2 linked regions of the Nothobranchius furzeri genome follow. Each later gene encodes a partner of the first gene's protein in a complex. Links are inferred from orthologs where the notes say so. Each region holds a gene or a part of one and is shown on either strand. Other genes may lie near its edges.

The links.
Region 2: coro2aa (region 1) and gps2 share a complex: the UniProt entries of both Homo sapiens proteins name them as parts of the N-Cor repressor complex. The link is inferred for Nothobranchius furzeri from reciprocal best matches to the Homo sapiens genes CORO2A and GPS2.

What each region holds. Positions count from the first base shown.
Region 1 is NC_091744.1:13,159,706-13,176,454, reverse strand, and holds the start of coro2aa (coronin-2A), read right to left. Parts: upstream 9,115-16,749; 5' UTR 8,816-9,114; coding exon 8,801-8,815; intron 1-8,800. Other genes in the region: uso1 (general vesicular transport factor p115), read right to left, coding at 16,226-16,294, 16,676-16,749.
Region 2 is NC_091742.1:53,235,452-53,249,032, reverse strand, and holds gps2 (G protein pathway suppressor 2), read right to left. Parts: upstream 9,921-13,581; 5' UTR 9,781-9,920; intron 9,399-9,780; 5' UTR 9,375-9,398; coding exon 9,281-9,374; intron 8,949-9,280; coding exon 8,839-8,948; intron 8,188-8,838; coding exon 8,075-8,187; intron 7,988-8,074; coding exon 7,908-7,987; intron 7,831-7,907; coding exon 7,751-7,830; intron 7,619-7,750; coding exon 7,447-7,618; intron 7,376-7,446; coding exon 7,292-7,375; intron 7,200-7,291; coding exon 7,123-7,199; intron 5,449-7,122; coding exon 5,359-5,448; intron 4,810-5,358; coding exon 4,717-4,809; 3' UTR 4,294-4,716; downstream 1-4,293. Other genes in the region: eukaryotic translation initiation factor 5A-1, read left to right, coding at 2,195-2,326, 2,421-2,483; gabarapb (gamma-aminobutyric acid receptor-associated protein), read right to left, coding at 11,924-12,004, 13,337-13,455, 13,534-13,581. UniProt on the Homo sapiens protein: Key regulator of inflammation, lipid metabolism and mitochondrion homeostasis that acts by inhibiting the activity of the ubiquitin-conjugating enzyme UBE2N/Ubc13, thereby inhibiting 'Lys-63'-linked ubiquitination.

The sequences.
Region 1 (16,749 bases):
TAAGTGTGAGGCATCATCGTTTTAATCTGCTCCAGCAGTTTAATAAACTGTTTAATATAACGTAGCTTGATATGTTAGCTTCCTATGCCACCATTGTTATCATCTAATGGTGCGTTCGCTTTCTCCTCGGAAATTCTAACTTCCCAGTAGGAAAAATCAATTGAAAAAGGGCGGTAAAAGGAATGAAGATACACAGTAAATTTAGTTCACAGTAAAGATGTTTGCTTCAGTTTGATTATCAGCTTATAAAACTACAAGGACAATGTTAAAATACAAACAGTTGAATGTTATTTATCGTGATATTTATCAAATATGGTTATATATTGAGAAAAATATATATTTAATTATAAAAGAGAATTAAAATATTAAACACTCAAAAGTATCGAAAATTGGTACCGTTAAGTACCGGTATCGATTTGTAGGTACCGAGAATTAGTACCGGATCGATTCAGATGTCAAAGGTACCCATCCCTATTCAAAAGCAATCTTGTGACATTCCTGAGGGAATGACCGCTGCAGCAAAGAAAAATCAGCTGTTGTTAAATCAGAAATCACCAAATCTGGTATCGGCATGTCAGAACTTTGCAGGAATCAGGAATCAATACCTGCCTTGAAAACCAGAATAGGTGAATTTTTAACAGAAACGACAGCAAAATAATTGTAACTGTAACTGTAACTGTCCCTGACTGGGACCAGGAAACGGGACCACATCAGTCCAGTTCTGGCCTCCCTGCACTGGCTTCCGATTTGCTATCGCTCACAATTCAAAATACTCGTCTTTGTTTATCATTTCTTCCAGGGTGGTGGTCCCCCCTATCTAGCCACACTCCTGAAAAGACACTCCCCATCACGCACTCTGCGCTCCTCTGACCAAGGCCTGCTCGCTGTCCCTCGGTCTAGGTGTCGTACCCGTGGGGACCGGGCTTTCTCAGTCCTAGCACCGTTACTCTGGAACCAGTTGCCACCCTCAGTTAGGCTGTCCCCTTCTCTGCCAGTCTTTAAGAATCACCTAAAAACACACCTCCTCCGCTTGGCGTTTGCAGAACATGTTTGATTTTGGCCCTCTTTTATGTTGAATCCATTCCACAGTTTTCATTGGTACACTCAATCCATCCACTCAATCCAAATGCGTTTCACACATTTGTCCTTTACCGGAATGTTTCATCTATCTTGTAATTTCCATTTTGTATTTTGTAATTTGTATTTTGTAATTTGAATTTCTTTTATTGTTGATTTATTCAATATATTTACATACAACTGTACAATGTTCAGCGCTTTGGGCTTCCTGACAGGGTTGCGGAAGGCGCTTTATAAATAAAGCTTTGATTGATTGATTGATTGATTGATTGTAAAACATCTTTTTTGTTGATGTACAGAAAGCCTGAAGAGGGACGAGAATTCACAACAATTGTCTTACTGTTATTTATGATAAAGTTTTAGAGTTTGATGACCAAGCTAACATAAATAACGCCCAGCTTTGTTGAACTAGATTTGTTCTGAACTCCTCTGGTCTCAAAGCGTGACTTATTACTCTGATTACGTTTTGCACCAGTATCATCAATAGAAAACATTGTGTTTACAGTCAGATCTATGTAAACAAAGCATGTGAGACTGGACTTCAGCCCTGGGATTAATGGTGTCCCAAGGGGTGGCCAGAAAAATGCTGGCTCCCCCAGCAAAAGCCAGTGTTAATAAATCATATTAATGTTCACTCAAAGAATAAATTGATCTGGTTTATTGAAGACATGATTGGAAAACAAAATAAAGATAATACAATTAATAAGTAAAGAAATAATGAGAATTTTAAAAATGGTTTCTGCTGCTCACCATTTAAAAAAAGTTTTTATCTCCATATTTTTTGTGAACACAGCAACAGGTGAATTAAACTAAAAAATATATATTTTAAAATAATATTAGAAGTAACATTTTAAATGACAAATGTACTTTTCTGAAATGTTTGTGTTTGTAACATTTAAGATGAATGTTTTGGATATGTACTGTTTTTTCAATAAAAATGAATAAAGGAGCAATGCAATACATCGCCACAGGCTAAGCTCTCCCAGAGTTACCACAACGACCAATTTGGTGTGCCACCCCCAAAAGATTATTTGGCCCCGTCTGGCGACCCCTATCAAAATTTTCTTGGAGCGCCCCTGCCTGGGATATTGACTATGGAGGGTCTGGTTTGTGTGGGGCCCATTTGGATCAGACCAGGTTCTTTGTTGTGTTCCTGATCGGGTTTTGTGGTGTGGTGAGGCGTACCATTATCCAGCTGGGAGAGGCCACAGAGTATCTGTACACAAGTAAACACCAATTTACAAGTCAACCACTACCAGACCGTGAGTCGTGCTGCTGCCATGGCAACACAAACACACACACACACACACACACACACACACACACACACACACACACACACAGATGACCTCATGATGAAAACGCAGCTTTGATTGGTAGAGCTGCAACTCATTTGCTCTCATAACCTCTTCAAAACATTGCAGCGTATTCAGATCTGACCGTGCATGTCCCATGTAGTAAAAATATTTATTAAAACTATATCCCCCCCCCCCCCCCCCCACCACACACACACACACACACACGTTTTTGTACTTCTAACTTCTACAGATTTATCTGCGAGTTTTTAAAGGAACATCTGACTATTTTGAAGCCTCAAGTATTTTAGTTTGGAAAACTGATAAAAATTGAACTAAAGCACACAGGTTTTTAATCATCTGCTTATTTGTGTTCATTTTAATTCGTCTTCATCAGACCTGTTTCCGTACTTCATCCCACTGAATGCATTTCAAGTCACAAAAATCAGGAAAATGATCATAAATATAACAACATTTATTCCTTAGGATATTTATTCCAAAAGACACCTTCGATCTAGGATCAAAGGAGACAGGATTTTAAGTCTTTTAGGTAACAGCAGATATACGCACGGGGGAAACTAACTGACAGATGAACAGAAAAACAACCAACTCACACTTTTAACAGGAAAAATGGAAAAAAGGAGGTCCAGCATAACAAACCACACAAGTCACATGTTGGACAAAGAGCGGGAATCTCAGGTATGTGTTAGCAGTCTGATAACATGCCAGGAGTCCTGGTCAGGGTTTTATGACCCAACATGAAAGACTTTCTATTAGAAACAAAGTGCGATGTTTAAATTAATAAAACTCCTAAATTATTAAAGAATTTCCAAACTAACTTATTTTTTTCCCAGTTTTACATATTTGGTGGTGATGTTTCAGAGTAATCAGACTAATGCTTATTTGGACACCGGTCTCCCTTGGACAGATCGAATGTTGGCGCGACACCTCTAACACACCAAGTCGTGACTCCAGCTGGAACACTGCTCGTTTATGGTTGTGGATTACATTTTGCAAACCCCTGCAGACTCATGGAGTGCGTTACAGTGTGCAGATCGTGAGGGACTAACTTCTTCTTTGTTTAATTTGGGCAGGAAAATTTGCATGAAACCGCAGCAGAGCTGAGGGTTAGTGACTGACCTCGCTGTTTATCTACTGAGCTTAGGTGGAAGAGCCAAGGCGTGAGTGTTTTACCATATTTAAGGATGAGTTCAAATCAAAAAGGACTTTCTGTAGGAATATTTTTAACAAGGTTTTGGTATGAAGACTGAGATTTTGTTTTTTATCCGTGCATGTATTCCAAGACTTGAATCCTGAAAGGCTTTAGATCACACTCAGATCATCCTGAGTTGCTCATTAATATCGATGGTCATAAAATCAGAATCTACTTTCTAAATTTGGGACCGGTGGCGCCAGTGCTCGGCAGCCTCGCCTCTGTCAGTGCGCCCCAGGGCAGCTGTGGCTACATCGTAGCTCATCCCCACCAGTGCGTGAATGTGTGTGTGAATGTGTGAATGACTGGTTGTGTTGTTAAGCGCCTTGGGGGGTTCCAGCACTCTAGAAGGCGCTATATCAAATACAAGCCATTTACCATATCTACATGTTGCTTATTAGAGATTTTTTCCACATGTTCAACGACGAGTGCAATAAATTATAGTTTAGACTTTTGTGCATATGAAATAATAACATTTTATGCATAACATGTTTGCGTTATGCAAGTGACTTCACCACACCCCCACCATTAACCGTCTAGGACAAAGCTGGTCTGTGATATGAAACTGGTTGGAAACCTGTGAGTTTAAGGCAAAGCATCCCTGGAGCCAAATAAATTCTGTAGTTTGTTGGTAGCTTAAAAGTGGACATCAGTACTTTAATAGTTCCACAGGAATTCAAAAACATGAAGTTCTTTGCATTGAATCCCTCCCACATAAAGCCATTTCCGCAGTTTTATTCTTAAAAATGTCATTACCTTCCAGAATGACCTGTTTCAGGGCTCTGTCACTTTAAGAAAACAAGCTGGACCAGGCCACGCCCACCCATCCAACGCTCAGGCTGCTATAAGCTGAGAAGCTCCGATATCTGGGTGGGGCTCAGATTAGTACTACGTCTCCTCCATCATTAGCTCTCTCCTGCACATGAGAGGTGGTTCTATTCTATTTTCCACATTTGTGATGTCACAAACAGGGACTTTCTGAAACTGCTTGTTTAAGGCAAATTATTCCTAAAACCAAACACTGGCGGAAAAAAGATGGACAAGTTTTTTTATATGTTCAATAGTTTTTAGTAGTTTAGTAGAAATCCATAAGACAGCACAAAAGTATGCAACATGTGAATTATGCGTAATATGTTCCCTTTAACTGAAATCCTTAAGGATAAAATGAGAGAATATGAAGCTGCAGAACAATGTTCACAGACCTTCCTGGATTTTAATTTTAGACCCTGTCACTATCTTAGGGGCACAGCAGCGCAATTCAACAACCACTTATGTCTGTTCACTTTGTTCAACTTCATTTAGTAAGCAGAAGTTCTAAGGTTCATAAGCCTCATAATCAAAACATTATTGAACACAAGGTCCCGTCCTAACCCTGACCCAGCACGAGCCAATGTACTCTGGTACACTCAAGGGAAATCGGACCCAAATTCTAAAACATGATCAGCATTAGACATGGGTCACTAAACACCAAGTTTTCTAACTGCTTTGTCTTTTGTCTTAACGTTTGTTTACATTCACATGAGAGTGAGTGAAACAATGGACAAGAACCATGTGGAGCTTCGGTGGCCCGGCAGAGTACAGCCTCGAAGAGAGTACATGAGTGATGGTGTGTTTGCACACATGAGGACAGCATTAACTCCGGGAACAAGGCCAGATTTTTTTCATGATCACATTAGCAGCTTGTTTGCTGCATAAGAAGCACAAATGTATGAATATCAAGTAGTTTTTGCATGATATCAGGTGAATACTATCACAAAAAGTGATGCTGGTTTCCAATTTGTCTAGTGAGTAAACAAACACTAGAACAAGTTCCTAACGTTTAAACTGATTTTAAACCATAATGGCTCATCTAATGTAAAGATATGAATTTACAATCAGCATTCAAGAATGATTTAAACCTACAAGATGCACTTTGTCCGATCTCTTTATGAAGAAGAACCCAGAACTCCTGAAAGGGACCAATAAGGGGCCACTGGTTCAGACATGGATGACACCTGGGTCAACAACATCAAGCACACAAAGGAGGATTTAAGGACCACAAAGCTGAATTTCTTGATTATTATGAATACTGAAATGGAATAACTTGAACACATCTATAATATATTACAAACCAATCTAATTAAGTCAGTTGGGTTCAGTTTGGTTTATATAGCACTAGGGCTGCACAATATATTGCAAATTTATCTATATCGCAATATCAGCATACGTAATATGCATATCACAAAGAACAGATAAATATCGTAATGAATGGTCAGCTCAAATGTTTGCTACACATAATGTAGTCTGTCAATCAAATAGAGGCATGGTGTTTTTTAACAAATCAAATAGAGCTCTTCACCCATTTGGCCAATTGGGTGGGTTCTCATAGGTGAGATGCCCACCCCCGTGGTGTACGGCACTTAATTTTGATGGTAAACAAACACCTGAGTTAGCTTTGTTCTGCTCTTTCTGCTGTTTCAGCTTTTCCCGGGATCCACTGATTGCCTTTTCTTGTTCATTTTCTTTTTCCCTTTCTTCACATCCTTTGCTTTTCTCCTTTTTTATGATTAATTTGTCTTTTTTTATATTTTTGTTTTTGATTATTTTTGTTCCAGTGAAGTTTTTATATATCGGAAATAATATCGTCATCTCAATATTAATCACTGTTACCGCATATCGCAGGTTTCCCTAATATCGTGCGGCCCTATATGGCACCAATTCACAACAAGAGTCATCTCAAGGCACTTTACAAAGTAAACATTCCAATTGAATTTACTTATCAATGCACTGTGTTCAGTTCATTATTTAAAAGTTTCCTGCGTAAGAAAACCCAGCAGATTGCATCGACTTTACAGCAATCCCCATACTAAGTACGCATGTAGCGGCAGTGGAGAGGAAAACTCCCATTTCAAGTAAAACTAACTTTGAGCTAGAGGTTTATCATTGATCTCAGTGATTGTTGGGTTACAAAGCTGACCAGTTTGATATTTGACACCACACTGCAGCCCTCTGCTGACCAAAACCAGCACTAGGTAGTTTTGTGGAGAGGGTAGGTGTCTTCGGGAGCTGTCTTTACCTGCTTTAGGGCTGTTAGCTGTAATGCTAGTGGTTAGCATTTTTAGTTCACCGAATGTCAATAAAAAGCACAAAAAGAACAAGTCTGCTTTTTCTGTTGGCATCATGGTGGAGCCTAGAAATAAAAGTAAGAGAAGAATGTCTTTGGGGGCGAAGCAAAGAGCTAAAACTGGAGTAAACATCGGCACAGCCCACACTAATTTGAGGAAGCTAAAGGAGGCTACAAAATCACAGACAGATGGTGACCTGGCTTTGTTGCTTCTGGACTTATGTTTATGTTTATTCACTTAGCAGACGCTTTTATCCAAAGCGACTTACAATTTATAACCTATAGGGCATGTTGTGATCTGTGGGGGAAACCGGAGTACCCAGAGGAAACCCACGCATGCATGGGGAGAACACGCAACTCCACTCAGAAAGGCCGCAGCAGAGTTTCGAACCTGCAACCTTTGTGCTGCAAGGCAACAGCGCTGACCAATGCGTCACCGTGCAGCCTTGGACTTGTAAGTAATAATATATTTTGTCCAATAGTGTGGGTCATTTTACTTAGCTCATGTTAATGTTAGCTCATAGTTAGCTTTAGCTATAGCAGATTTATTTATGAGAGTTGTTATTCCACTTTTAACCAGTAGGGCAGTGGAGCACGAAGCATCTCTATGTTATTTGAACAGGAAGAAACCTTAAAAACCTGGGTCAGTATGAGCAGCCGTCTGTCGCGACTCACTAGGGTTGGAGAGGACAGAGCAGCTACACAAAAAATAAACGGCTAACCTAGTAGTAGTACTTTATGTGTTAAAGACAGTAAACTGTTACTATCAGGTGACAGAGAATGTTCAGTTGTTGCCAGTAGAGTGCCAGCCGATGGTAAGGGTCGGTCAATTTGCTCACATTATATCCTCATTTCATTCACAATTTGACTGCCAACACCTCCCCAAGTTGTCTCATGTTTTTGCACTTTCTGACACAAAGAGGCTAAATTGAAAATGCTACCAGAAGCCTGCAAACACTCTGTAGTCAGTATTTGCAAAAAGAAAATTGCAATAAAGAATTTCTCTGAAAACAGTAAAATAATTGTCCCAGGCATCTGGAGTCCTTCTCAATGAGAAATTACTTTGGAAGAGCTGGTGACCAATTTGCAAAAAAAAGACACATAATTAGGAGAACTCTTCAGAGCTGCAACAATTTTTGCACAACAGTTGGACAAATGGTAAATAACCTGTATTTATACAGCACCATAAAGGGTTCTACAACCCCCCAAGGTGCTTTAAAACTAACCGGTCATTCACACGATTGTGGTGATGCGCTACAGCATAGCCACAGCTGCCCTGGAGCACGGACAGAAGTGAAGCTGCCATACACAGGTGCCACCAGTCCCTCTGACTACCACCAGCAGGCAAGGAGGGTGAAGTGTCTTGCCCAAGGACATGACTACGACAGATGGGCCTTGAACCTGCAACACTACAGTTACAGGATGGGCACTTACCTCCTCTGCCAATTCATTTGCAATTAGATCATACACACTATGTGACCGAACTTATACAAAACGTGTCACATGTTCCCCTTCGGCATGAGTCCAACAGAAAATTTGCATATTTTCTTGTAATTTTGTGTTTCCATCTAATCCCCAACCACTAGATGCTGGCTTGTCTGTCACTAATTTCCAGTAATTGTTTTAATCCTATGATTTTTGACAGAATCTCATCTCTTCTAATTCGTCATTTTCATTTTGCAGCATCAACCTACCAGGAAGTCCAGGTGAAAAGGAGCCTGTGTGCCTAAATCTGACATATTTACAGGATGTGCTTGAGTTGCACTCATGACTGATTCATGTGCACTCACTCAGTCACTGCCCCACTTTTACTGAAGAAGCCTTTTGGATCAGGTGAAACACAGGACTGGGTGTCACTGTCCATGCTAGTGAATTAAACACACATCTTTACTAAATCCACACTTTTCCCTGCAAAATATCCCATCAGAGAGGAGAGTGATCAACCCCAGGTCATGAACAAGTCTGGAAATTGGACCTCCCCTCCTCTATTCAACCTTGGGCATGGCAGGGCTGCAGAAGCACGCGGGCGGAACCCTCCCACATGAAAACTCTCCTCAAGAGTCCTGACAGCACAGTCCCACACCTCAGACAGCGCAGATGGAGGTGACTCACCTTTGAGACGGTCATGTGGCGCAACGAGCGGCGGCAGCTGGAGGTTGATCCGGGAAAAGGAGGACTAAAGCGGCGGAGCTGCTGCTGCTGGAGGTGGATCCGGGTGTGTGGAGGACTCGGCTGAGCTGGGATCAGTTGTTATATCACCAGAGACAGATGCTGTTGCATGGCGGCTGCTGTCTGCGGAAGTGTCCGAGCTCACAGACCCACAAGTGTCCGAATACAGCTAACAACAGGCCGCTTCTCTGACCCGTACAGTCCGCAGGAAGAGGAGGGAGAGCGGAGGAGTGATGCGACCAGATGCGACGAGGGGAGGAGGAGGAGGGAGGGGCCATCAGGTGCATGGATAAAAAGGGACTTCAGTAAAGTTAGCAAGATATTCACAGATTCTACTTTTGCGGCTCATTACCTTCTGAACACAGGGGTATTTAGAGCAGGGATAAAAATAACCTGAAGTAGAACAAACTCCTGAAAGTTTTATTTTCAGGTATTGCACCAAAAATAATCTAGTTTTATACATTACACTTAAAGTTTTCTTGTTCAAATGTGCAGAAATAATCCAACAAATCAAACAATGTTTTAAATAAATAAAGCATTAAGAGGCGCCTTTATGTCTTAAAAGTGCAATTATTAAAATTGCAGACCAGTTTTCTTGGTTTGTTACGATTTAAATGATAAAAGATCCTTACGACAATAAAACGGATCAGACACATTTTTGTACAACCTCAAGTGATTTTAGATCATTCTGGGACTGAAATTAGCTCTAAACAAACAGGAAGCTGCACATGTATAATTCTATATCGACAATTTTAGCAAAAGTTTAGAAATAAGCAAAATTATCGTTTTTCATAATCAGTTTCGTGTCAATTTGACAAAAGCAAAGATATTTTAGAGGAAAGTGTTTTATTTGTGCAAACTCTCTTAGAAGAGTTACATCAAAGTTAAACTTTACTCATATTTTTAATACATTTGCAGTAGTCTCTGGTAGGAATGAATGCTTTAAGGGGTCCTCAACTAAATTTGTTCAAGGGACAGAGTTTTTTTTATTGTATCTTAATTTATTCATGTTAAAAATGGCTTTATTCTCTATCTAAGCTGTTTGGATTATATTTTTACTTGTGTTTGCAGAACGTAAAAAATGATTAATATTTGGGACATGAATGTTGCTGTTGCTAAACATCTATAAAGTTCCCAACTGGGGGCCATTAGGGGGTCTGGCGAGCCAGATGTGGCCTGTGGGCTGCCAGTTGAGGTTCACTGCCTTAAGTCTTCTCTGGGGAAAAAAAGCTCCAGTGCGCCTGTTTGGGAATGGGTTTTTTTTTTAATTGAACATTTTTCAATATTAGAGACTTTAAGGCATACTCATTTGTGCATTCAATATCTAAACATTAGATTACAGGGCACAGAGAACATCCACATTCATACATTAGTGTAATTAACCTAGAGGTCTTCAAAGATTCTCAGGTTATTTTTACTTTTGGCCAAAGTTGTTCTCTGGCCAGCCGGTCTTCCTTGGTGAAGCTCTGGGCGAAGCGAATTCCTCTCTCTTGGCAGATCTGTGAATTTTTTTGTTGTCTTCCAGACAGTCTCCCAGTGGAGCCTCCTCACGAATTGCATGATGATCTGTCTGCATCTCCCTTTTTTTTTTTTTTTTTTTTGCTACCGAGTCAGTCACGTTGCCAATATTATCAGCCCAGCCAGGAAAGATTTTTACCAGGAGTTCTTCTATCATCTCTCTGATGTTTTCTCCTTCTTGCTCTTTGAGCCCCGAAAGTCGCAGGTTCCAGCGACGTTTATAGCGCTCAGCTTCCAGCAGTTTCTCCTTCATGATAGCATTTTCCCTTTTTAGCTCTTGTTCTTTCTCCAGAACTTAAATTTTAGACTTACATTCCTCAATTTCCACCGTGTTTTGATCGACCCGTTGGAAAACTCCAGTGAATAGGTTAGAGTTCTCTTTGCGTTGCTTTCCAAATCCATCCACTTTTATCTCCAAGCTGTGAATCGCTGCTAAAATAGCAGCTAAGGAGAGCTCAGGTTCAACTTTGGGTGCCATTTTTTTTTTTTTTTTAGCAGGTGTTGGTTGTTTTGTAGGGGTAGTAGTTAGCGGTCTTCTAACACCTGCAGTGCTACTGTTTGCCTTGCTTTGGGTTGACGTATCCATCGGAGTGGCAATTTCTTTTGGTATTGCCAGTGCTGGTCATTCCCGGTTTAGCCATGGGGTCTGCGTTCATGGAGTAGCTATGGAAGGCTAGCGGGTTTGTGGCCTTACCGGTCATTGGTCTGAGCGGCGGAAAGTCTTTCTCTTTAGACATTATTTTGTCTATTCTTCTCCGTTTGTTTAGAGAGAGTTTCAATATGAGAGTAATCGTCTTGTTCTTGTTGCCTAAAGAGGACCTTTTAGGTAAAGTTTGGGACGAAGTGAGCAGAGCTTAGAAAGTTGCGTGTGCCCTGGTCGCCATCTTGCCGGGTCTCCGCAACACAACTCTGCACTAACTTAGTTTGCTTTGCAACGTTGATGTAATATCTCCATACATAACACAAGTTTGAAGGAGTTTTGCTGTGTGATGAAGTTGCTAATGCTAACAGTTAGCTTCTACTAGCTGTGATGTTCTCTATGGTTTCCTGGACGCCAAACCAACAACAGCCTTGCTGTCACAAGTCTAGATGGGTGAGTATATGAATGTTATAGGTAACAGTGACATAGATCTGTCAGGATATTCAGATCCTAGAGTTTCACCGTCTATTTTCTATCAGAAGCTAAAGCAGGAGATAGGTGTAGGAGACTATTTTCATGTTCAGTCTGCATGAAAAACTCAGATTCAGTCATTTTCTGATGAAGTCTCAGTAAACTTGGGAGGTTTCCCTCTGCAGAAAAAAAAATCTAATTCTTCATAATTTTGTTTCCGGTCATTTAATTTTCATATGTTAGGGATGCTAAGGAATGTTTCTTTGGAAGAAATTCTGAAATTCCAATTCTTTTTTTTTATTTCTTCAGTAGCTTTTTCATCCCCCTGAGCCCACCTCCCCACCATTTCCACAGGAATGGTTGGGTATTTAAGTCGTTTAACTCTGCCCTGTCAGTCAATCATTCAGATATGAAAAATATTTTCAAATTCAAAAGATGAATCAAGGCTGAATTCCCACAGAACCAATTTGTTACCAGCAGCCTGTCACAAAAAATACTTTTTGTTCCCATTTATGAAGCAGAATCCACAAAAATCCTAAACAGTTCGACACATAAAATAATACAAGAGGATTCCCAAAGTAATACCCTGATAACGTGACCTTCGGTAGATTATTGAACACAGCTGTTTGAGATGTAATAAACTGAACACATAATTGTTTGAGTTTTATTGCCACCAAACCACCAACAGCTGCCTTTAGCAGGCCTTTCTATTCACAAGTGCAGCTAGTTTATCAACTAAGGTGATTTAGACACGTGAAGATGCAGCAGGGTGCTCAGCTGAAGGAGTCAGAGCTTTTTATAGCTTCTTTTATCTAACGTCCAAACCAAGAAAACAGAAATGAAAGTTTTTTTGTTTTGCTTTTAAATAAATTGGAGCAAAAAACTAGTGCAGATAATAATATAGATATAGCAATAGAACCTTGTGTGGTCTAATATTTCTTCTCTTTGCGCTGCAGGTTTTGTTCCCTGGTTTCAGAAGCACTTCTCTCATTCTGTGGTCACAAGATTCAGATTCTGAATAAGTCACCATAGCTAGGTTTCAGATTCAGAGAGAACTTTATTAAACTCTAGGGAAGGTTCCTCTGCAAAATTCACACTGTTTATGGCTTGAGTCAGTATAAAAACCAGTTGTGTGCCTCATACTAACTGTTAGGTGATATCATGTATGGGTGAAACTTAATCAGAATATTGTACAAAAGTTTATTTATTTCAGTAATACAAGCTATACAATGAAACTAATGTATGACATGGACGTAAAAGGGAGATGTTTCAAGCCTTTATTATAACTCTGTTAAATTTCTCACTTTTGTGGCGGTCACACTTTATAGCGTGACGACTGCAAATTAATTATGACCAATAAGATGTGATGATTCCATATGAATAAGAAATATCAATCTGATTGATCTTTGAATGTTTAATCAGAGGATTATAGTTACTTTTACTCGTTCAGGGACCATAAACACACTTCGTATTAATTCAGACAGAGTCAAGTTAAAAGGGAATTTTATTCTTTTCTAAACTAATGATTATACGTGACAAGATATGAATAATGAGATGTGATGGAGTGGATATGTGGTGATGAAATGTGACGTGTAGGGGTGTGATATAACCTAGATGTTTATCAGAACCGTTGTATTTGAAATTGTGAAATCTGGGTGAAAAATAATTTGTTGTCCACTATAAACTAGAGAGTTGATTATTAATAAAACAGCTTCAGACGCAATCTGTTGTGTCTACAAACCCTGGCGGAGACCCCCAGCAGATCCGGACTGTCAGAAGTCGGGTGGACCTCACAGCACCGGGATTTCGTAGATTAAACTCCGATACGACCGTCCAGTCTCGAGATGTCTCCAGGTCACAACAGTAGCTGGAATGCTCTCTACGTCTAAAGTGGATGTAGCTCTTAATAATAATAATAATAATGCATTGAACTTATATAGCGCTTTTCTAGACACCCAAAGACGCTTTCATACACACTCACATTCACACACTGCTAGTGATGGTAAGCTACTTGTAGCCAGAGCCGCCCTGGGGAGGTCTGACAGAGGCGAGGCTGCCATTTGGTGCCGTCGGCCCCTCTGACCACCACTAACACAGGCAAGTTGGGTGAAGTGTCTTGCCCAAGGACACAACAGCAGGATACCCCTGGCGGGAGCTGGAATCGTACCCATGACCCTCCGATCATGAGGCAATCCGCTCTACCACCTGAGCTACAGCTGCCCCACTGGCTCTTAGGGAGCCATCTGGCTGTCAGCTTGCAGCGTGCAAACAGGTTCTGACGGTATGTCAAAAGAGATGTCTCAAGGATGCTTGTTCCGAATTGGCCGGTTCGGAACTCCGCTAGAAACTGAATTACTCGGGAAGTATTTCCTGTTTTATTAAACTACTTTATGATTTCTGGCGTATTCTGGCAAATCAGAATGTGTCATGTCTGGAAGGCTTTACCAAAACATTCCTCAGAAAGCCACGCCTTCCTTCAGATACAAAAATGTTTTTAACCTTGTATCTTATTGTAATGTGTATGAGTGTAAACAACGATTAACTTGTTAAATCAAACAGTGATTTGTGATATAAATGGATCATTGTAAGAACAATATTCATTTCAAATTCATCAATTTAAGCACAGGTTTTTCAAACATTTAAATATCTTGTTCATTCATATGATTATTTAACTTATAAGTTGTAAAGCCTCATAGGATTCGTGTGGATTCACTTTTATTCAAAGTGAAGAATCCAGCTGTCTGACTTTTAGCAGAGAGATAAGGCTTTAGCGGGAGACCTCAACAGTTTACGACTGCATTGAAGAACAATAAGTGAGCGAAAGGTTGATCTGTGCATCTGGACCCTCCAGCTGGCGTAACCTTGACTTTGCAGCTCTGACGTGCATGAAAGTTTACAGTCAATTCTATGGTGAAAACTGACCCTTTTGATACATCACACTTTTTTCCACCTCAAATTTATATTCCTGGAATCAAATTATGATGTATGTGGCTTTCATCCACAGAGGTGAGGCAGCAAGAACCAAAAAGACACCTTTATTTTCACAGTTAAATCAGACTTTTCTAAAACTTGGCAGCTTCTGAAAATTGAAGCACAAATAACCAGTTTATCAGCACAATCTGCTGCCGTCACCTAAAGCTGCACCTGGACATCAGTTTGGCCCTGGCACCACCAAACGAGACTGAAACATGCAGATCTTGCTGTTATTTGCATACATCCTGTAGGATTTGTTTAGCGTATTACTGAGCTGCTCACTGTGGAGACCATGGACAGCTCCTTCAGAGGCAGACTGGCAAATCCCAGATTTAAAACAGAATGCTACCTTAGATCATTCATCCCCTCTGTAGTAAGACTGTATAACTCCTCAGTTGAACTGGTACTGGCATTATACTGGTGCACAATAACATCAATGCAATACTCTGTACGAGGTCAGTTCCAGATTTACATAGTATGTCTGTGTTATGCTGCGTAGTTCTGGAACCTAAGTTTCATTTTGGTTTTTCAGTGGTTGAAGGTTACAATAATATTTGACTGCCTATGTGTTTATACCATCGACATAAATATACACGCGCACTTTTATAATTTTTCTGAAGAGTTTGTGCTGCAGTACCAAGTGAAATTTCCCACTGTGGGATCAAGTCTATTCTATTCTAGCCGTTTTTTCCATCTCAGGTCTGCACGAAACCCCCTGAACAAAATACTCTACATAAGAAACTCCAGCCACACGAGGAAAGTCTCATGTAGAATGAACTGTGGCAGAAACCAAACAGCTACAAATTAAACGTTAATGTTATTGAGAACATAAACTCAGGTGTTTGTTGCCTCCTAGTGGTGAGGAGCAGCCGTTACAAGAAGCTTCACACGCTTTAGTAGAACTACTTGTACACATTTACTTACTAATGGAGTTTTATTTTTGTCATTTTAAATTTGCTCCAAATTTCTTTAAGAATATTTCCAAATAAAAGTCTGATTAAATATTTATAATAAATATTTACATATTTTAATCCAAAGCAGATAAGACCAAAACATTTTATTGTGGATTTATTAAAATGTACCTACATTTTTTTCCTCCATATGGCATACAGATAGATTTTTTATTCATTTCAAGGTTTTTCTTTAAACTCATAAGTTACAGAATATCATACAGAAGCTTAATGCCAGAACTGGGTCAAAAGGGGTTGCAAAAATACATCTTAGCATGTTTTTTTATGTCGTCAGTGTTTTGCAGCATGTTGCAGAGCAGTCGTGTTGAGCCGTCGAGGTGAAAGGAAAGAGCTCCGTAATACTAACCTTGTACTGGGCGTGGAGGCGGATGAATCCAGGGTGGAGCACAGAGAAGAGTTGTGAGCAGAACGCAGGAGAGACGCTCACAAAACACTAAATTAATAATCATCTTTTATCGCTACGTTTTAAATCCCTCCTCTTTAGATTTCCCAGATTAGACTGTGCATTAAAAACAACTAAAGAACAGAAGACAAGCAGAACTGGTCACAGAGGTTTTGTGGAGATGAACGCACCAACGAGTTTAAATCACTGAAAAACAAACATGAACAAAAACTTTCCGAATGTTAAATATGAGAATGTGATGAGAATTATGAAGACAGCATGGCAGCTTGGTGGAGAACCTGCTGTGATATATATATATATATATTAGTCCTATTCCTCAGTTTCTCAGGCGACTTTCGACAGTCTCTTCTTCTCTCTTGGGAGGCAGATTCACATCACACCTTTCAGTGTTTCTAGTCCTCGTCTTCGTCCTCCTCGTCGGATGTCTGCTCCCTGGCGTCGATGTCATCTTCATCTTCCACCTGCGAGGGAAGAGTCATAGTCTAACTAGAGCAGACAGACAGAACAAGGCTGAGTGGTGTCGGGACGGAGCCCGACTCCGTTAGCTGATCTGGGGTCAGAAACACAACAAGAGCAGTTTTTACCTAACAGAAACTAAAAATGACACTCTGCATGACTGCTGTTGCCATGGTGACCAGAATGAAATGTGAAGATCATTACTGAACCAGAGCCATTCAGGGGATGCTCGCTCAATGATGTAGGATGGATGACAGAACCCATGATGACGGAGGCAAGAGATACTTCAAGCTAGACTTCGATCATTTTTATATCATTTAGTTTAAAAACTAAATCTGAAGCCCTGAAGACAAAACCTCGCCACTAAGGGTGGGTTGTTTCTGTACCGGCTCTCCCAGGTCTTTGAGTCTCTGTTTCAGGCCGTGGATTTTCTGGTCCTGGTCTGCCAGCAGCATCAGCA
Region 2 (13,581 bases), on another chromosome or scaffold:
AGTCAGAAATAAATAACTCTGGTGGTATAGTCTCTCATGTGATGCTTGTAAACACTGTTTCAGAGTTTGCAGTGTGTTAAGATTTATTTAAAGAGCAAGTTCACTGACAAACAATTTTTTATTTTTTGGAAAATCATCAATCTCTGAGTTTTTCCTGCAGGCTGAACATGAAAATAGTCTCCTACACCTATCTCCTGCATTAGCTTCTGATAGAAAGTAGACTACGAAACTTTAGGATTAGAAAAGCCTGACAGATCTGTGTCACACTGTCACTAACATTCATGGACTCACCCATCTGGACTCACGACGGGGAAGGCTGTTGTTGGTTTAGCGTCCAGGAAACAGCAGAGAACATCTCGGCCAGTAGAAGCTAACCATTAGCATTAGCAACTCCACCACACGGCAGAACTCCTCCAGGCTTGAGTTAATTGTGGAGAATAAAACCTCAACAATGCAGAGCAAGCAGAGTCAGTGGCAGTCTCGTGTTGCTGTTAGCCAATCAGAGATGAGATGTCCTAATATCAGGAAATCCAAATCCTGCCATCTGAAGCTGCTTTCTTCTGTTATTCCCCAGAGAATGGATTACAAGGCATTCGTTTCTACTATGACCGCTGCAACTGTATTAAAAATAAGTAAAGTAAAATAGATATTTTGGGTGGAAATTAAGCAGTGAGACCCAATCTCAATACTTACACTTGCACCCTTCAATTGCGCGTTCTCGGCCAGGGGTGCGAGTGCGTAGGGTGTCCCGATTCTCAAGTACGGAAGTTGACCACGCCCCCGTTGCACCCTTAATCTGCGCTTCACCCAAGTCCGCAGCGATGCGGACCTCGGGCAAGGGTATTACCCACAAGTCATTGCTGCAGGAGAAACGGCTCAAGTTCCTTTTCTGAAAATATGTATTCTCTAATGAAATAAGTTCATTTTAGAACGATTAGTTGATGCTCTGAATGTTTTAGACAAAGCAGCAATGAACTTAAATTATTTGTAATTGCTTTGTTGTTTGTTTGAACGAAAGATGTTAATAAAGGTTTTTGAGAAAAGTTTCACAGCCACCAGCATCCCGGCATGCGTTGCAATCGATGGCGTAATGCTCCCTGTCTCAATTCGGCAATTATTTGCACTTGTGTACTAAACACTCAAACCCTACTGCTCACTTTCTCCAAGTGCACTTTGCTGAAAACCGCAGTGCGAGTATTGAGATTGGGCCTTAGACTCTAGTGGGCAGCCATATTTGATTTAATGGGCTTTGGTCAAGAACCTTTTAGTCCTCATATATAATCAGAGCTAGAGCTGCACCAGCTCTGTTAAAGCTTTGGTCCCAATTGATGAGCTAGCGGCTAGTCCGAGCAGTACTGCAACCAGGCGGCCATCTTAAACACTAGTAGACTGCCAGCATCAGACCCCTTCTGGCCTTAAAGTGGCCAGAACATAGTTTCAGGATAAGTACTTTCATCATAAACCGGCCACATCCAGTCCCGAGAGCCGAAACAGAAGAGCAAGCAAAGGCAGCGGAAGAATCACGCTGCTGTTGGCCAATCAGATGAATAAGACTCTAAATGCAACCGTTTTCCAGCCCCCACTTCTCCGGCTAACTTCCTGAAACAGACACACCAAAAAAATGACCCACAAGGCGTTCGGTCACACTAGTCCACAGCAGATTTATGAGAAATGAAGTGAACGAGGACCGATTTTAAACACGTCATGGATACGACGTAAACACTTTCATTTACACTGATGAAGAATTTACATTATAACATAATATCAGCAGATATATTATAAATGGCTGTCTAGAAGTGCTGCAAGTTGATAGAAATATACTATTTTATACACATAACTGTAGTTTTATGTAAATAAACGTGGAGCATTTAGCAGCTGAGCAGTTTCATCACACACATCAGTATTCTGTTTGTGATCCTCGTGGACAGAAAGAAAGCTTAAAGTGTTTTTAATTTTACTATGCATGCATATTTTAACAAACCCTTCATGAATAAATAATAATGGCTGAATAGAGCCAAACATGACCAGAGTCGTGTTTCCTGCTGAAGGAAAAGCAGTCTCAGAGTTCCGGATGTGTCCTGTGTCATCCCACCCCAATCACTGACATGGAGAAGTGGAATCGGCCCAACAAGAACAGCCTGTTTGGGTCACAACTATCTCTGACTCATCCTGACCACTTGCTGCCGTCTCCCAGCTCATCGGGATCCAGGACGGATACTTGTCCCTGCTCCAGGACAGCGGGGAAGTCCGGGAGGACCTGAAGATTCCAGAGGGAGACCTTGGAAAAGAAATAGAGAGCAAACATGAAGCTGGAGAAGAGATTCTGGTCAGAACCACTCACTCGTTGCCCTGAGTACTAAATTCAAAACATTCCTTCACAAAAAAAAAAAAAAGAACGTGATTCCTTTTTTCTTTCCCAGATCACCGTTCTAAATGCTATGGAAGAGGAAGCCGCCATCGGCATCAAAGCCTTGGGGAAATGAGCCCGAGCAGGTAAATCCGCCAGACCTGAACCCACCTGGAGAAGAGTGTGTCTGAAACGTCCGATTACATCTGTGTGTGTGTTCAGACTCAAAGGGAAGACGGTCCCGCCGCCGCTGCTCAAGTTAGAGTTGATGTATTATTTAACTGAATGAATGTATCCATTTACTCACACTTGCTATTGCGTAAATCTGTGTTTGCGCTGTTGAACTTGCACATACGTGTTTGAGATATGGGGTGCCATTTGTAAAGTCAAACAGTCATAATCTAACAGCAATATTTTTGGTTATTTAGCATATCATAAGAGAAAAAATTGGGAGTTCACTTTTTCTTCAGCCAATACGTCGGACATGTTCAGAAGAATAGAACCGGAGACAAAACAAGTTCTGGTTCGGAGCAAGAGTTTATAAAGAAGTTAGCGAGATCCAGCTTTTATTTTGGTAACCAACTTCCGCTTATTGGCAAGTGAATTTGCATATTAGCTAAATGTTTAAGTACCAGCTAAATATTTATTTTCCACGATGTTATTTAGCTCCACACTATATTTTATATTTTTGGGTCAGACTTAAATATTTATTTCCCAAATACTGATTTTGCAAACTAAATGTTTTGCTCCAAAATAAATATTTAGCTGAGATCTAAATATTTTTTTGGGAAAATAAATATTTAATTTACAAATTAAATATTTAGTTCCAAAATAAATATTTAATTAGTAAATTAAATATTTAGTTAGTGAATTAAATATTTATTTTACAAACTAAATATTTAGATCAGACCTAAATATTTAGCTTGCAAAATAAATATTTAACTACAAATTAAATATTTAGCTTGCCAACTAAATATTTATTTGGAAACTTTAACATTTATAAATGTCTGAATAACATGGTGAAAATATGATTTCGAACAAGTGAACTCCCATTTTTTTCTCTTATGATATGCTAAATAACCAAAAATATTGCTGTTAGATTATGACTGTTTGACTTTACAAATGGCACCCCATATTGAGACGCACCTTTTTCAGGTTTCCTGTCTGGATGAATTGTGACATATGCTTTTGTTCCATGTTACCACTTCTAATGTCGCACTTTACAATCCGTGAGAGCTGGAGGCTCCTGGTGTGTATTTTAATGATGAACTCTTGACTTTACAGCCTCAGACGGCACCTTTCTATGTCACATGGGCTGTAGAATCAAGAGTTATAAATTAAATATTTCAAAACACTGAAATGTAATTTTTCTTCGCCTATAAATACGTTTATGGTTCCTGACTCCGCCTCCCCTTTTCTCTCTTTCTTCCTTGCAACTGTTTCAGGGGCAATCAAGACCAATGGAAACGAAGGGAGCTAATGACTCGTCTGCGTTTTTTTTTCATTCTCTCCAGTTTTCTGACCCTCCTGTGGGCTCGGTCACAGTTCACGTCCCGACTACGTGATCATAAACCAGAACAGGTGTGCATATTTAAAATAGATGATCACCTTTAGAAAGAAGAGGGACAGTGTTTTCTTTTTATTGATCCCTGATTTATGAAGGGCTTCATCTCCAGTGGAGGTCTGTTCAGCAGGCGGATTCGTATTTCTGCACAACACCTGGTCTGAAGCAGCTCCATCACCTGGCGCCTATGCGGAACAACGCAACCTTCCTTTTGTTTTGTGTCCAAAAACAACTCCTGGGAAGCTCTTTGCAGAAACTTTGGGAAGAAATGACTCCAACCTGGAACAGATTTGTTTTCAGAGCAGCAGTTTACTTAACCAGGCCCGACTTTGCAGGACGTCTCTGTGGGCAAACAATAAAAAGGAAAGAATGGCAAAAACAGTTGAAAAGTGATTTGTTTATTTAGCAACATTTAAGTGAATAATTCCAAATAACCCAACTTTATTTATGCTACAGCTGGTTTTCCTCCAAATCGTGTTACAAAAGGTCATCCGAGGACAGACAAAAACTTGGGACAAAGTGTTTAAGCTTAACTAGTTAATGTGTGCGGGACCAGTCTCATTGGTCTAATTCCAATCATTTATGGAGAAACTAAAAATTCTGGGTCTGTAATACAGTTATTTTACAAATTTACTATTTAAAAGTGTAGTGAGAACAAAAAAGACAAGTGCGAGTTTGAGGACTTTAAACCAGAAGCGATGAAAGCTACTGTACAAACTTTACATCAAAAAGGTTTAAAACATCAAGACCAGGTCCGACGGCGTCTCCAGAGTGTCCGGGAAGCGGATGCTGAGGGCGCTGTGGGCTACTTGCCATGGTGGTAAAACCTCTGCCCGCTCTGGCTGTGGGACAGGAAGCTGTGACGAGGAGTGCCCTGCGGAGAGCTCTGGAAGGGGGCCTGGTCATAAACACAAAACAAAACCGCCTAAAAAAAGGGCGATGTTTCATTTATAAACATGTCAGCAACAGAAAACTGACGCGTGACCTCCATAAACCTTTACCACGTACGTTTTCCAACACAGCCTTGTTTTGGTAACATCAGGACATCCCTGCTGTTACTTATGCTCTTGCGGAAACAGATTTCCATCTAAATGACTAAGTGGGAGGATTAAACATTACATGAAATATTGGTTTTAAGACTTTCGCTGTTAGCTTAACGGTCCTGTCCGGTGTGACCTTCATTTCTCTGAACTGAGGCTGTTCAGGGAGATATTTACAACAAGAATGAGAGGTGGTGAATCACTATCAAAACCTGAGCCACATGTTTACAACAGAAACAAAGTCCTGTGTAAACACTACTAATGGGCTGTCCGCATCACCGTTAACCCAGCACTAGCCAGCTGAGAGGTGACACAGCGGGGCAGATTGTTGCTGATTTTTACATCACTGATTATAAGAAGCATAAAACAGGTGGTGGAAAGCGTGTGTTTATATTTGTATGGTTCACCTTAGCAGTAGGGATCTGGACCATAGGTGCAGGCAGCAGACCTTGGGCTGAGGGATGCATGGCTGAGGGGTGCATGGGCCTCAAACCGCCCTGAAACATCAACAAGACACAGAACCAAAACACTAAACAGCAAACTCAAGTGCAGGTTGGAGAAGCTGCTGTAGTGCGGCGTTCTTGTTTGAAGGGGATGTACTGTGACTTCTGTCTTAAGGTGTAATAGTCTATGGTCTGCACTAAATCCCTCCCACATAAAGATCTTTCAGCTGTTTTATTCTTGATGGTTTCAGTTCCTTCCTAAATGAGCCGTTTCAGGGCTCTGTCACTTTAAGAAAACAAGCTAGTGGGCCACGACCACCCACCCCCTGATGAGCTACGGTTAGGTGGGAGGCTCCGACATCCATGGGAGGCTTGTAATAGAGCCACTGATCCCCCCGCAGCACCTCTCTCTTGCACCTGAGAAGTGGCTCTATTCTGGTTTTCCTGTTGTGACATCACAAATGTGAACTTTTGGAAACAGCTCATTTTAGGCACATAATTCCTAAAACCAAACACTGAAAGAAAACGGATGGAGGTTTTATTTTTCACATTTGGGGTGTTTTTAGGGCAACAGCAGTAGCTCAGGAGGTAGAGCGGGGTTGTCGAGTAATTGTAGGTTTGCAGGATCGATGCCCCCCCCCCCCCCGCAGAGAATTTAGCTGCTGTTTCCTTGAGCAAGACACGTCACCTAAAGCCAGGCGGACACTGTGCGACTTTTTCACTCGTAGCACTCAGCTTCAGCTCTAACTGTACGACTTCCTCGCAGGGCAGATCTCACGAGTCATGCGCTCACACTGCACGACCCAGTTCTCGGATACGACCTGACTGCTCACACTGTACGTCTGGTAGCAACAGGTCGGCCCAAAAATATGCTAAAAATAGCAGTTTTTACACAACACGTCAGACTTTTTTGTCTTGTTTTGCCTGTTGTCCTTCAGGAGTGCTGCAGGAGGACGCACAGGGATTTATGGGGGTTGGATGAGGAAAACGAAATAAAGAAAGTAAATCTGTGTTTTGTGATCAGTTTAATTTGACATGAACACGACAAACACGCTTTCTTGACAATCTTTGTGTGTAAAAAACGTGTAGAAATTAAAACGGACAACGTGTGTTATTAGGGAAATAGCGAGCGAACGGTGTTGATGCAGGATTGCGCATGCGCCGTGAGCGGTTCTGATACATTTTGGGTTGCAGCTGCTCGCAGCGCCGCTTCAACAGTGCGATACCCTCACGAGGGACGAGCAAAATATTAAACACGCCAGAAGTCCGTGCGAGCTCACGACTGCTGATCGGTAGCTGGTCACGTGGTGTTAATCGCCTCTCGTAACCCCCTGTACACTACACGACGCTCGGCGCAAAACTCGCCCCGATCTCGTGGATTCTCGCACGACTGGAAAATCGGCTCAAAAAATTGAAAAAGTCGCACAGTGTACGCCCGGCTTAACTTGTCTTTGTTGGTGGTGGTCAGAGGGGTCGATCACGCAAAAAGGCAGCCTGGTCTCTGTCAGACTGCCCCAGGGCAGCTGTGGCTACATAGTAGTTTACCATCACCAGCATTGAGTAAATAATGGAAAGTGCTTCATAAATCAATATTATTATTACAGAGGCAGTATAGACTCACATGGCAGCACAAAGGGATGCTATAGGTTAGTTTTGCATAATATGTCCCCGTTAAACAAAAAAAAAAAAAAAAAAAAAACGCAGTAATTTCAAACATTTTGCTCTTACAGCATCAGTAAAGCCGGACTGTTGGTTGGCGTGTTCCAGCTGCTTCTGTAGAGATATCGTTGGTGCTGGGATGTATCCTGAAACAAACAATTCCTACTAAGTAAAAAAACAAAACATCAAGCGTAGTTTAAACAACAGCGCTGGGCTGCGACATACGGGTGAGACTCACCTGACTGAGAGGTAAAAGGGCTGTGAACAGGATAACCAGCCTGCTGATGAGGGAGGTACTGCATGGCTTGAAACGCAGACGCACCTGAAGGTAAACAGATGTTTAGACAACACTTCCTGTTGTCCTCAAGCTGATTCACGTTACTGATGCCTCACCTCTGATCTGAGAACTGCTGGGGAAACTGACGGGTACTGAAGGTCCTGGAGCATAGGAGGAGGGGTGCTGGGCCTGAGCCACCCCGTAAGGCTCATGGACGCCCTGGCTCCCGCTGAACTGTCCGTGTTCTGCTGAGCCTGAACTGAATGTGGGGGTCTGATAATGGCGGGTCTACAAGGGGAGATGAAGGTATTAAGAAAAGGGACTTCTTATTTCTTCTCACTTCTGTTTACACAGAGACTGTTTAGAATAAAAATGAGTACATTTGATGTTTAGGGGAGGCCAGAGATCCTGTTGACTTACAGGGATCACAGAAGCAGAGAACAGCTGTTTGCTGCGTTCTCCCAGCAGAGCGCCGGGTCGACTGTGGCTGACTGGGCTGCCTGAGACAACAGAAGTCACAGGACAGTTAAAACTACCGCCTACAGTTCCTGACGGAGGACCAGTGACGCTGTCTCACCTGGGATACTGAGGAGGTGCTGCCCTGTGTGCATGGACAGACTGGGCTGGTAGCTGGCTGATGTCAGGGTAGTGATGTCACTACAGAAACAGGAAGGGGCACAGGCTGAATTCCACCAGTCATTAAATGATTTAAAAAAAAAACTCCATAATATTATTGGGTTATACCTCTGCTCCTTTCTGCGCCTCTTCTCTTCTTCGTGGAGAACTTTCTTGAGTTGTAAAAACAACTGATGCTTCTCCTCTTGGAGTCCCTGCAGCTTTTCTTCCATCTTCATCACCTGGTGTTAAAATACAGGCACAGCATGTTTTTGTATCAGAGCTATTAACTCTGATAACGCCGTAAGCTCCAGTTGGTACAACATTCAGCAGCACGTGTCCTAACAAAAACTCCCTTACCTCACCATATCACCCCATCCTCAACAGCTTCATTGGATTCCACTGCAAGCCAGGATCGATTTTACAATTCTCCTGCTCACCTTCGAGGCCGTCCATAACCTTGACCCTCATTACCTAACAGATCTCCATGTCGTCACCTCGTCCCGTTCCCTCAGATCATCCTCCTCCTTCATCTCTCTGTGCCCTCTGTACGCCTCAGCGCCATGGGGAGTAGAGCCTTCTGTTTCATCGCTCCCAAACTCTGGACCTCCCTTCCCCCTCGCATCAGGAACATAAACTCACTTACTCGATTCAAAACCAGCTCAAGACTCACCTCTTTTTTAAACCACCCATCTACTTTGAATTTTAGAGTGCCTTGTTTATTTTCTTTCCTTGTACTTATGTTTACTTACTTACTTATTTAATAAATTTGTGTTTTTATCATGTACAGTCACCTTGAGTGTATAGAAAGGCACTTTTAAATAACATTTATTATTATTATTAACAAAAATAAAACAAGCTGAAGATGGAAATGTGATTTTTATGTTACCAACCTGTTCTTTGGTTTCCTCTAACGACATCCTCTCCTCTATCTCCTTTGTCCTCTTTCTCTCCTCCTCTTCCTTTAGCTTCTGCTCCATCATCTTGTCTACTTCCTCTTCCTCTGAAAATCACATTATTAAGCACGCAGAAAACCTACATTATTTAGAGAAGAATAAACACTAGATAAATGTAGACACATTTTGATAATTAAATGAACATTTTCATCGTTTAGATCAATTGCCTGTTGATGTTTGTGTCTTGGAGCAAAAATTGTCTAGTTTAGTAACCAATGACTGTAGAAAAGAACTGGATGGGGATGAGAACTGGGATTTTTTTTTAAAAGGACTGAGATTCTAGAACAGAATGGAACAAAATCAGAATTGTACAGAAAGTGTATTGTATCGGCTACAAGTTCAGTATATGGTCCGTTCAGTCAGAGAAGCACCAACACACCTTGCCTCTTGCGCTCCCTCTCCCTCATGATGTGCTTGTGGAGGGCTCTGGCCATCGCGTTAGACAGCTTGGGTCTCTCCAGCAGTGCGGGCATAGTGACAGGCAGCGGAGGGGCCAGCTAGTGTGGTTAAGAACATCATTACAGGGTCACCAAGCAGACCCGGAAATCATTACATTGGGCAGTACGTAGCTAGCGTGTAGCAACTCCATAATAAAGCACGAGTAAAATGGGATAAAATGCTATTAGCTGTAGGCTAGGCTAACAAATACTGTAATACACGTTATTATGAATATTTCTAACTTAAAACTCTCCTGCAAACACGAATACATTTTGAAACACAAGCTATGTGCTTCTTCACAAGCAAAACTGTGACAAATTAGTTTTTTGGGGACACATAGGGAGTTACGGTTTGCTAGCTAGATGCAAAGCACGTCGCCGTGTTGCCTGGTTTAGATCGACTTTACTTGAATGTCAATTTGCAAAATGTATTTAAACTTACTTTTGTCGTTTTGTGAGTCGTTTACGAAGAATTTAAATATGCTCCAGTATTCTATCTGTGGCGTATTTAGCTTAAACTTCTGCGCAGGTATAAATGAGCAAGGAGCGGTTTTGGGCCCGGGTGAGGAAGTCAATTTGCACTTTCGGTGGTGATGTTTCCTTCGCAAAGCATCAAGGGAATTGTAGTTTTACCCGTACTATTTATGAGCTTGGAAAATGGACAACATCCTTCATGGTTTTGACCAAGAATCTTTGTTCATTATCTGAAAACCTTAAAATAAGTACATCACACTTAAAATGTTTTTAGAGTTTAGCTCTTTGAAAAGTACTGTTGATTTAGAAAAGAATAGACTTTATTGATCCCACAGTGGGGGGAAATTCACTTCTCACAGAAGCACAAACGCTTAAAAGAATTATTTGAAGAACAACAAAAGGTACATGTATATATAAACACAAGCAGTAAGCTATTATCGTAACCTTCGACCACTAAAAACCATGAATGAAAATTTAAAAACTTGGGTTCCAGAACTATGCAGCATACTGCAAGTGGTCCATGCAGTCAGATGTTCGTCCGCTCCTGCACCCCTCATCTTCTGCTGCAGTAGACACGGCTGGACGTGTTGAAAGCACTTGAGAAGTCGAAGAACATTTTTCTCAGTGCTTTTTTGCACCTCAAGGTGTCGGGGCCTGGTGCTGCAGGTAGATGAGCACGTCCTCCACCTCATGTTTGGTTTCTATGCAAATTGCAGTGGATCTACTTCCAGGCTCACCATTGAACGTAAATGGGTAAAGATGAGTCTCTCCATAATCTTCCATCAGATGGGAGATCAAGGCGACTGGTCTGTAGTGGTCTGGTTCCCAGGGATGTGATGTTTTGGGAACTGGAACCACACAGGAGGTCGTCCACGTAACGTGGACCTGCTCCAACTGAAGGCTCAGGTTGAACATGTGCGTGACATGTGCGTCTTTGAGCACTCTGGGGCTGATCCCGCCAGGACCTGCAGCCTTCCTGCTCTTAAGCCACCTTGGTTCTCTCCTCACCTGGTCAGATTTAGGGGGGGTGGGGGGTGCTGAGGGTTGGTAGTGAGAGGAGATGCTGTTGAATGGTGTAAAATTTGTAAAATATGTAAAATTATTGAATTGGAATGTCCCACCGCATCTTACTCTGGATTTGTGTGTGTGATTAAGAACATTCAATTAGAAAACATGTACCTGATGAGCAATTTTCTACTATTAGAATAAAAAGTTTGTGTTTCCTGGTTAAACTGAGCACCCTCAAATCTTAAGGCAGTAAGTCACACCTTTCAAATAGAGGAACAGAATCTAAAGGCTGAACAAAACTGACGTTTGAACATCAACAACTGCTGTTCAAGATCCAAAATTCAATAAAAACCACAAATAGATTTCTAATAACATTTTATCAAGTACGGCATTGAATGGAGAGAGAGAGCCAGTAAAGCAGCTGTATACAGAGTTCAATCTGTTATTAAAGAAAACAAACTTTAAAAAAATTGCACTCAGCTTTACAATACCTTTAGAAAATAAGCCATCTAAAATGAACAATTACAACAATAATCATAGTAGCAGTCAACATAACTTTACCACTGAGAGCAGAGCATGATCGTGTGAAGTCTGAATTCTACTGAACTCCTTGCTGAGATCAGATGCAGGGCACCACATTGTAGATTTTATTTAATTAAATAGATGTCTTCCAAAAATAAAAAATAAAAAGTTTTTTCCTAAGAAGCAGCTGCTGCAAAAGTTATCCCTTCCCCTGCCAGAGACAAAACTACAAGCCTTTAATTCAGAAGTAATAATTTCCTATTCTAAATCATTCTAAAACTGCACACCTAATTATTAAGTTTTGCACCATTAATAACTGATTTAATTTTCCTTCTCATCGGCCGATAACGGCACTAGAAACATAACTGGCCTTGAGACCACCAGGTGAGAAGAGTTACTGAATACAATTCAGACTGCAGAACGATAAAGACCAGACGACTGAGAGAGAGGTGATGTAGAGTTGAGATGAAAGTGCATTAGATGGGTTTACTGTGGGGAACTCTAAGCTGCGGAACTGGATTTAATATTCAAATGACTGAAAGACAGAGGTCTCAGAAAGGTGGGTGGTGGTTGGGGGGGGATCAGATTTCCCTTTGGCTGTTCCCATACACGCTCTCGTCACTGTAGGCAATGTAGAGGAAAAAGTCCTCCTCGTGGTGCTCCTGAGAAACAATTATGGGATAAAACATTGAGATTATGTCAAAAATACAAAGAAGCAACACTAAAGAGTTTTAAACACATTCCGCTATTGCTTTCAAACTGCTTTCAGCGATTCTGGAGCCACCAAACTGAGCAACTTCACATTAGACCGCATTCTGTGGCCCTCTGCTGGCCACAAACTGCACCGAACATTTTTGTGGTTTGGGTAAAAACAAAAGTGGGAAGTCTCTACCTGATTTACGACTGTTGGCAGCTTACTGCGTCGATAGCTAATCAGGGTATCTGCAGGTTTAAGGGAGCCAAATTTAAGACTTTTTTAAGGCCACTTTGACCAAATTTAAGCAATTTTTTAAAATTTCAGCTATAATTTCCAGCTATTGCCTGGATCCGATGCTAACCACGTCGCGAACGTGGGATTAGCCATCCAGTTACCATTAATGTTGCACATCCCCATGGCGCAAACTCCCACTAGCATGCTCATCTAAAAATAGCCCCCTTTCACAACCGACCGAATGTGTACGGTTCCGCTTACGCCAATATCATATACAAAAAATGCTGACCACTAACTAGAAATTCACGAGAATTTTATAGAAATAAAAAAATCTTGTTTATTGGGTCTTTGGTAATTTAAGACCTTTGTAAACTATTTGAGGTTTATTTGTCATTTTTAAGGATTTTTAAGGCCTTAAATTTGGAAAAGCAAATTTAAGACTTTTTAAGGACTCGCAGATACCCTGGCTAATGTAAAGGCTAACAGTTACCTTTTTCTATTTGCTAATTATACTTTTAAAAAAAGAGAAGAAATTAGCTTATTTTGTTGGCATCATGAAGTAAAAAAATGTCTTTGGAGGTGAAGACATGAGCCTAAATCAGATTGAACATTGGCACGGCCTACACTAGTTTGAGGGAGCACGATGAGGCTACAAAATCACTGACTGATGGTGACCTGGCTTTGTTGTTACTGGAACTGTAATATTTTTTGACCAACAGAGTGGATCTTTTTATTCTGTGGCTTATTTTATTAATAGCTGGCTTAAGTTAGCATTGAGGTTGCAGGGATTAATCGGTCGTTTTACTATTAACCCTGGTTAACCCACCAAAAAACCCCAACACCATACACTATTGTCTTTTTGTTTTTTTATTGGTGGTGTTGGATGCATCTTTTTGGTGGGTTAACCAGGGTTAATAGTCAAACTGGTTAAACCCTAGTAGGCAATAGCTTATTAAAAGCACTAGTTACAGCCTATTTGATCGCAACAGTTGTAACTGCTTTCAACTAGTAGGAGGGAGAAATGGGAAACTTTAGTGTTGCTTTAATGTTAAGAGTGTCTCACCTGGTACAACAGTCCCATGGTAGCTGAGGTGGGCGGAATGACGTTGTTTACAAAGAAGAAGAGAGCATCCTCTGCTCGCAAGTGGATTCTTTTGCGGATTAAGAAGTAAAACTGACCCACTGTTAAAGAAAAACATTAGTTTAGTTGCAGATATTCTTTAAAACAGTTAGAAACCAGGCTTTCAACTTCAACCCTACCTGTCAAGTCAGAAGGGACAAGATATTTCTTCTTGTCCAGGTCTCCTA